Daphnia pulex: one gene and its partner. The protein of the gene in region 2 interacts with the protein of the main gene of each other region in a pairwise test. Links are inferred from orthologs where the notes say so. Each region holds a gene or a part of one and is shown on either strand. Other genes may lie near its edges.

What was found.
Region 1: the proteins of elongation factor Tu, mitochondrial-like (region 2) and elongation factor Ts, mitochondrial-like interact in a two-hybrid assay, tested with the Drosophila melanogaster proteins (2 studies listed by BioGRID). The link is inferred for Daphnia pulex from reciprocal best matches to the Drosophila melanogaster genes mEFTu2 and mEFTs.

What each region holds. Positions count from the first base shown.
Region 1 is NC_060025.1:6,704,610-6,708,428, forward strand, and holds elongation factor Ts, mitochondrial-like, read right to left. Parts: upstream 2,215-3,819; 5' UTR 2,071-2,214; coding exon 1,906-2,070; intron 1,851-1,905; coding exon 1,728-1,850; intron 1,673-1,727; coding exon 1,547-1,672; intron 1,485-1,546; coding exon 1,312-1,484; intron 1,249-1,311; coding exon 1,082-1,248; intron 1,019-1,081; coding exon 735-1,018; 3' UTR 584-734; downstream 1-583. UniProt on the Drosophila melanogaster protein: Associates with the EF-Tu.GDP complex and induces the exchange of GDP to GTP. It remains bound to the aminoacyl-tRNA.EF-Tu.GTP complex up to the GTP hydrolysis stage on the ribosome.
Region 2 is NC_060026.1:7,179,831-7,184,218, forward strand, and holds elongation factor Tu, mitochondrial-like, read right to left. Parts: upstream 2,909-4,388; 5' UTR 2,616-2,908; coding exon 2,500-2,615; intron 2,285-2,499; coding exon 2,161-2,284; intron 2,084-2,160; coding exon 1,877-2,083; intron 1,805-1,876; coding exon 1,726-1,804; intron 1,657-1,725; coding exon 794-1,656; 3' UTR 791-793; intron 715-790; exon of another isoform or gene 700-714; 3' UTR 577-699; downstream 1-576.

The DNA of each region.
Region 1 (3,819 bases), on a different chromosome or scaffold from region 2:
CACTTACTTTTAACACGCAGTCGGCGAGCGAATGTAAACTAAACCTCCTTTTCCGGAAGCGCAATTTGGGTTTCAATAAGGAAGGGCTGAAAAAAAAAATTAATGGAATTCAAGATAGTTCTAACTAAAAATTAACAAATAATTTAAAAAAAAATTCCAACGTAATTTTTTCTGGATTTTTAACTCATCCGGAGATATTTCAGTTTCAACAGAGATAGACCGACAAGCTTTGAGTGCTTTGAGGTCTTTTTATCAACCATTTCACGGTAATTAGACTACGTATATATTAAATAAAGGTTGCCCTTCCCGCTTCATGAATCCGAAGAGATCTTATTTATTCTTTATCAGATTAAAAACAAGTTTCGTTGATGGATGACGGCACATTCATGAAGTTGTATTCAAGACGTTTTCAACACTCGGTTGATGACCTTGTCCGCTAGGACACACCGTGATTGCCCGCCGGATAGGAAGAAGGATAAGAGCAATAGGGCATAGGGAAATTGTCGCCAGCATGGTTTTTAAACTCATAAAAAAAGAAAAATTGCGCAATTATTTAGAGAGAGAAAAAGGAATTACTACTAGATGATGAAAAAAGAATTGTATTTATTTATATCCTAACTAGCATGATTCACAGATTTTTAATCAAAATCCAGCTTCTTGGAAATAGTTTTTTTAAACTATGAAATTACTAAGAAGTGAACTAGAAGCAAATTTTGACTGAAATTGGTTTCATCTTATTCAAGGCTTTCACCACATTCGAAACGCAAAAAACCTTTGATATCCCATCCCACATGAGACATAACTTCCCGTACTGTGAATTCAGGATAAGCAAGAAATTCTTGATGATATAGAGCTGATTCTTCGTCACTTGATGATTTTTCTTTTTTTTCTTCGCTTGGTAATTTTTCCGTTTTTTCTTCGCTTGACGACTGTTCCGCTTTTTCATCACTGGGTGGTTTTTCTGCTAGCTCTTCTTCTGGCAATTTATTTACCTTTTCAATGGTTCGGGGATTCATTCCTTTGATCAGGGGAAGACAACGTTAAAGTTATTAAATTACAAATTCAAACTAACATATTATACCAATGATATGCTGACACAGTTGCTTAGGAAGCTTTTCTAAATCAATAATTTCAGACAATTCTGGTGTTTCAACCGAAGGAGGGCATTCTTCATAGGCAAAGACGGCTGCATATTTGCCTAGGAATGATTCACCCAACACCTGCTGTGGATGGGTACAAGATGAAAACCTATATTAAAGAAAAATGAACAATGAGGAGAGCTTCCACAGGAAAAGTAACACCGCCGATTACTTGATATTTGAACTGGTTGCGCAAAGAGCTGCAGCTCGACGCACAGCCATATTCTCACCAATGAGTCCAATATTAAGTGCCAACAAGTCAGAAAGTTTAGAATTTTTACTGTCATTCAATTGCAATGATCCCAACTGCTCAGAATCAAATCCTAATTTAACTAAACTTGATTCCTATAGGAAAATAGTTTTATTTTAACTGAATGTTTAAAGTTTTTGCTAAGAACAAATCTTACTTGAGTAGTGTCTAGTGCAGAAACTGTGGCTAATGACTTTTTGAAACAAGTTTCTGTAATTTGTGCTACAAGGGTTTGAAATTTCTCATTTTTTGAAACAAAATCTGTTTCACAGTTTACTTCCACCTAGAAAGAAAATCATGTTAATTGAATGATGAGTAAGAAATTTGTTATTTCTTACCATAACGGCACACTTTGTATCTAGTCTTATTCCTACAAGTCCGTTTGGAGTAGATCTACTCTGTAGTTTTGCTGCTTTTGCCCATCCTTGAGCTTGAGCTTGCGAATTAAGCCATGTTTCTGCCTTCATTAAATCATTTTAATAATTTGTCACTCTAATGAAAATTCCACTCACATACCTTTTCAATATCGTTGTTGTTCATTTCTAATGCTTTTTTACAATTTGTTATAGCATAACCGGTTTTTTTTCGCAATGTTGAGAGTAAAGATTGATTAGCTGTCATTACTTTGCTGGAGTGGAAAGAAACAATAGAAGTGTGGTGAAATAATCGGCGGAATAACATTTTATTTATGAGTTTAAAGTTCAAACTTAATATTGGTTTACACCGATTACACAATTAAACGGATGTCAGGACTGATTCTATTTGATTTGTCAAGCAAATTCGCCAAAACTTCGTCTGCTTCCCTGCTGCCTCATGGACTACTATCGACTGCATGTCGACTGTATCGATATCGATAGTATAGTCAAATTGTGCCCAAAAAGTGGGTATACCCCAAACAAATTATTACCTGAATTTTTGTTCGTGAGCACTGTGTGTACTATAAAAATGTAGTTATTTTTAAAATACTAGTTAAAACTATCGTGTAGAACATGTATAAATCGTGATTTGAAATGTTATTTCCCGTGTAAATATCCTTTCTTGTTGAAATAAACCATTTAAAAAAATATTAAATTTTAGAAAATCTTTCATTCTATAAGTACCCAACTTTTTGTGCAGTTATAACGATATTTAGTATTTAAAAAAAAATTAAACGTAAAACCCAATATTTTGGGTGCATCTCACAGTGACGGAATCGCACTAGTAAAGGTGGCCATAAATAACAGCTTTTTTTTTTTGCTCATAAATATATAGTGTTGAAAGTAAAGTGTTTCATTAGTAAAATATATCACTAATAATTTGATTGTTTAGTAACTCGAAAAAGTACCCATTAATAACTAGTTCTTTAAGTAAAATGTCTCATAAGAACGAAGTTCTTGTGGTTCTTGTATCATAAGAACTTCGTTGCATTGAAAAATTGTCTCACTAGTATTTCTGTTCACAAGTAACATCAGGTTAGGTTAGGTTAGGTTAGGTTAGGTTAGGTTAGGTTAGGTTAGGTTAGGTTAGGTTAGGTTTGGTTAGGTTAGGTTAGGTTATAAAATTGGTAATTCCCTAATCACAATCACGGCGAAGCCGTGAACATCATATTATTATCATCCACGGCGAAGCCGTGAACGTCAAGTTATTATCAATCACGGCGAAGCCGTGAACATAATTTTATTATTATCCACGGCGAAGCCGTGAAATTAAATTCGGTATCATCCACGGCGAAGCCGTGAAATTTACATTCGGGATCATCACGGCGAAGCCGTGAATATCATACTGGATCATAGGGGGTGTTACTGTTGATGCCTGTTACTAACGAGACGTTGTCGTTATACTACAAAATACTACTGTATCACTTTCCCTTTTCACACGAAATTTTGAAAAAGAATTATGAAACAATTTACTATTGACCATTTGTTGGTATGAAATAAATAAATTATTTAGAAAATTTTGATTTTCTTCCGAACGGTATTATTTGAGATACGTTTTACTAGTGATACACTGTAGCCATTTTCAATTTTACTTGTGATACAAATTACTATAGTACGATACTTAAGCGCCTTTTTACTACTGCGATTCCGTCATAGTGCTACGCACCGAATATTTTCCCCCGCGAAAAAGTGTTTCCGTATTTAACACAGCCGCTTATGGGAAAATGGTTTTTTTTTAAAACAGTATTTACATGACATCTTAGCACATAGAAATCCTTCCTTGGGTTCATTTTATAGCTAAAGAGTCATTCTATCTTATTCATTTATATTTATTCAAAAGGGGACATTCGTTTAGAAGTTATAACCGATATTCTAGGCCCTAATTTTGCATATTTTCCAAGTGTTTTGCATTAGTGAGTAACACACCCGCTTGGTGGTGATTAGCACAGCCGCTATCCGCTAGAAGGGGCTGCACTCCAAGCGGGTGTGTTACTCACTAATGCAAAACACTTGG
Region 2 (4,388 bases):
AATGGTGGAAAAAGTCCCATTGATTATCCAAATTTTTATCCGGCATTGGCAGTTATTTGGAAAAGGTATAATATGAATCCTTCAATATTATTTTGAAGCAATATTAATGTAATTCACTGCAACGTTACATAATGGCTATGTTTTAATGTAATCATCAATAGCTGTCATACCTAACTATGTCGCAACTTGATTTGATTGAACTTGTGGAAAAATTTCTGTGACCTCAAAACGAAAAGAAATATAAGATGAAAGAAACACGATGCAAAATGTAAACAAAGAAAAATACTGACAATAAGGTAGCCTACCATTGACAAAATAAATAAAAATTATTGTTGGATCCAAACCTAAGGCATCAACTTCCCCTCCGATTTGCTGAGTGTAGCCGAGTGAAGCAGGGTCGTTGTACTTTTCAAAACAAAAAAAAATAAATAATTTATAGATAAAAGTAACTAACTATGAAAAAAAAAATTAAAAAGGAAGAACAACAGAAGCAATGCTCATGCGAATGGATGACGTACATAAGTTTTAAAGAAAAAAGTGAACTGATTCTGTTCACAAAGGAGACAAATACCTGACTTTCATTATTAAATCTTGATATTCTATTACATAACGCAAGGTTAGGTTATACCGGATAACACAAAGAACTATAAAAAAATAATTCATGGCTCGTAATAAAGGCGACGATCCCTGCTCGAAGAACTATATAACCCAAGACTGGAAAGAAGTTAAAAAAAAAATATATATTTTCTAAAGATTTGTATTCATACAACTGAAATTCAAATCGAATTACCAATTAGTCGACCACAGTTATTTTGTCCAGAGAATCTCCTTTAACTAAATTGGCATCACTCAATTTCTTGGTGATGATGCCGGTCGCAACATTGTAATTGTTTTCTCTGATCGTGAAAGTTTGTCCGGGTTCGACGGCCATTCGCTTGAGCAAGGTGAGGTTGACGACGGAGTGATCTCCTGGCATAAGCATGTCTTTGTCACTCGGCATATCCACCCGCACAGCTAAATTCCATGTTGCACTAAAGATTTGTTGAATGTAGCCTGAGATGACCGGACGGCTACGGCCTCCTTCGCCTCGCGTTAACAGGTACAGCTGAGCTTGGTAACGATTGCCAATTGTTGCACTATGGGCGGCCACCAGCATCATACCTCGCTGGACCCGATCCAGTTTGATGGAGCGCAGTAAGAGACCAACGTTTTCACCAGCTTCTGCAAAGGGCACTGACTTCCGAAACACCTGGACGTCCGTCACCACTGTTTTGATGGCTGAATTATGCCCCAAGAGTTCGGTTTCATCACCTTTCTTCAGCGTTCCCTTCTTTATAGTTCCCGTGACCACAGTCCCTCGGCCAGGTACGGTGAATGCGCTGTCAATTGCCATCCAGAACGGTGATGTGACGTCTCTTTGAGGTGTAGGAACATATTCGTCGATGGCTGCTAGTAGTCTCCTAATGGATGGGACGCCCATTCTACTCTCATCGCCTTTCAATGCCAACAAAGCTGAGCCGCAAATTACTGGAGTTGCTATGCCGTCGAAGCCGAAATCGGAAATTAATTCCCGCATTTCGATCTCCACCAATTCGGTCATTTCGCTGTCAGCTATATCAGCTTTATTGATAAACACTACTAGATGCTTCACGCCAACTAAACAAAAAAGAAACAGAAATTCTTGGAATTCTATTGAATTAAATCCATACAAAACATCGATTTTACCCTGTTTCGCAAGTAAAAGGTGCTCTCTAGTTTGAGGCATCTGGCCGTCTGTCGCAGCAACTACCACGATGGCTCCATCCTATTGTTCAAGAAATCTATACTCAGAATCCTATAATTATATAGATACATGATTTTTCGAAGGTTCTGATACCATTTGGGAAGTTCCAGAAATCATGTTTTTGATAAAGTCGGCATGGCCAGGACAGTCTGTATGAGCGTAGTGTCTATTTTTAGTGGAATATTCCACGTGAGCGATGTTGATTGTAATGCCTCGTGCCTTTTCTTCTGGTGCTTTGTCAATCGCATCGTATGACACATACTTGGCCAACCCATCCTTCTGCAAGACTTTGGTGATAGCCTATTTGTATTAATGGTCAACAGTTATTAGGATTTAAGTATATATTTTTTTATAAAAAAAAAATAATAATACCATACCGCAGTCAGTGTTGTCTTTCCATGATCTACATGGCCAATGGTGCCAATATTGGCATGAGGTAAGTTGCTAGACTGAGCATTATGGGCTTCAGTTTTGCTGAATTGAGGTGATGATGATGTCAATCTGTAGACAAAGACACAGTTAATGTAATGCAAACAAATATAGTTCATGCTCTTTTAATGAATTTACAAACTAAGACATTACATTTTGTAATGTTTGTTAAATTTAACAAAAACACTATCTGAAAGTTAAATCATTAAATATTTGGATTCGGTAAAGTAGCCTATGCATGAAAATCCATGAATTGAAGAAAGAAATCATCTTTTAAACCGCTTTACCTTTGAATTAATAATCGCGATAGCATCGGCGTTCTTAGCAAAGAATGTGATCTCAATAAAGGTAGTAATCGTATACTACATGAACACATTTTGCGTACAACAGTAGTAGCCACCATTTTCTATCAAAAATTATACAAGATCGTTTTTAACTTTAACAATCACAAAAGTTCGGTGCGAGAAACAGCATAAAGTTATACAATGCTATATTATTATTAATAAATAACGAGAATAATTAGTCAATGAAAATGATAACTATAATGTAAATGAAAAGTTCGCTCAAAGTCAAATCCGTGAAAAAAAGAAAAAGTCAAAAACTTGTTAACCAATGTTTTTCTTTTCTATTTTTCGATCAACCCATAATTCGTCTGCATCTGCCCAACATTGTAAAATTTATTATTCCTTCAGGCGGTTGTTGCAACACGGGTTGCAGTGAGCGAGCTCAGGCGGGGGTGAGCGCGTACACGGCACCCTATTTCCAGCGTTCCTAGCGGCGGAGGGCCGCAACTCGTGTTTTGACGTTTGGCCAGGCTTTGATAAAAACGCTCACCCCCGCCTGAGCTAGCTCACTGCTGCATTTTAAATTTCAACAGTGCTTTGAAATTGTTACTTTTTGTCTTCGTGTTTGGCGAAGATGACATCCTGCATCTGCGATCTAAATAGCTACTTAAAAAAATAGGTAAAACTGCGAAACGACTCTTTTAGTCTTTTTTCCGTATTTTCGTAAGTAGCTCTAGCCATTAAAAGGTTTCCCCACCTAGGTTTTCCTCGTTCTCGCCTTCAATTTTTCTGTGTTATTTAATTTGATTTGTCTTTTACAACAAAAACTTAGTATGAGGGTAAAAATGAAAACAGAAGTGAGCTAGCTTTGGCGGGGGTGAGCGAGCTCAAGCGGGGGTGAGCGAGCTCAGGCGGGGGTGAGCGCGTAAACGGTACGGTACCCAGAGCGGCTAATGAATAGATAGAGAATTTAATTTACTTAAACATACTGAAAATTGAATAAGATCCTACGATATAAAGGTACTTACAAGGCCGAAAACTACACTTTTTCTGGCATTACAATCTGGGTATAAAATTTCATAAATTATTAAAAATTTTAAAACTCAACAGAAAAGAGTTAATTTTACATATAAATGACCGCATCGTCAGGGGCTTACATCTCGTCTGAAATTTAATAAATTCTTGTCAGGGAAATCTGCCGAAAATGAGGCTGAAGGTGATTTTCTTGGAATTTTAGCCGCCAAGAAGCTGGTTTTATTTAAATTTAGTGGTAAATAGCTAATCAAAAATAGTTTTAATTAGTGAAAAGATAGACAATATGAAGGACAACAACATACTGAAAATTGAGCAACTTTCTTTGGCTTATAAGGTACGAATAGGGGTAAAAACGCCAGCCGCAGAGCGCGCGCGGAAGTAAAAATTCTTTGGCCGTCGATTACGCATACGTGTGTACATATTATGCTGATTCTGAATGCATATTTCGATTCAGCGTAAAAAGTTGAGTTTATGATGTAATTTTCATTCATTTTGACCGTAGCCTTGGCAAACGTCAAAATTAAATACAATATGAATTCTTAATAAAAATTTTTATGAAAAAATTACCTAGGACTTTTAAACAACGGCAAAGAATTTTACCAAAACAGAAGGAAAACAATATTCGTCTGCAAAACCCTTCGTAGCCTTGGTGCAGTGCAGTAGTTTATCCGCTAGAGGCACTACAAGCACTCCAAGAACTCGGGGTCAGTATGGGCCCCCATTTTTTTCATAGTTTCCTTTTCTCCCTTCGAGGGAGCAAAGGGGGTTGCCGAAGAAGAAACAGGCGCAGGGGGTGGCGATTGATGGTTGTACACGGCCGTACGGAATGAAGCAACGTGTCACACACAAAACTACAC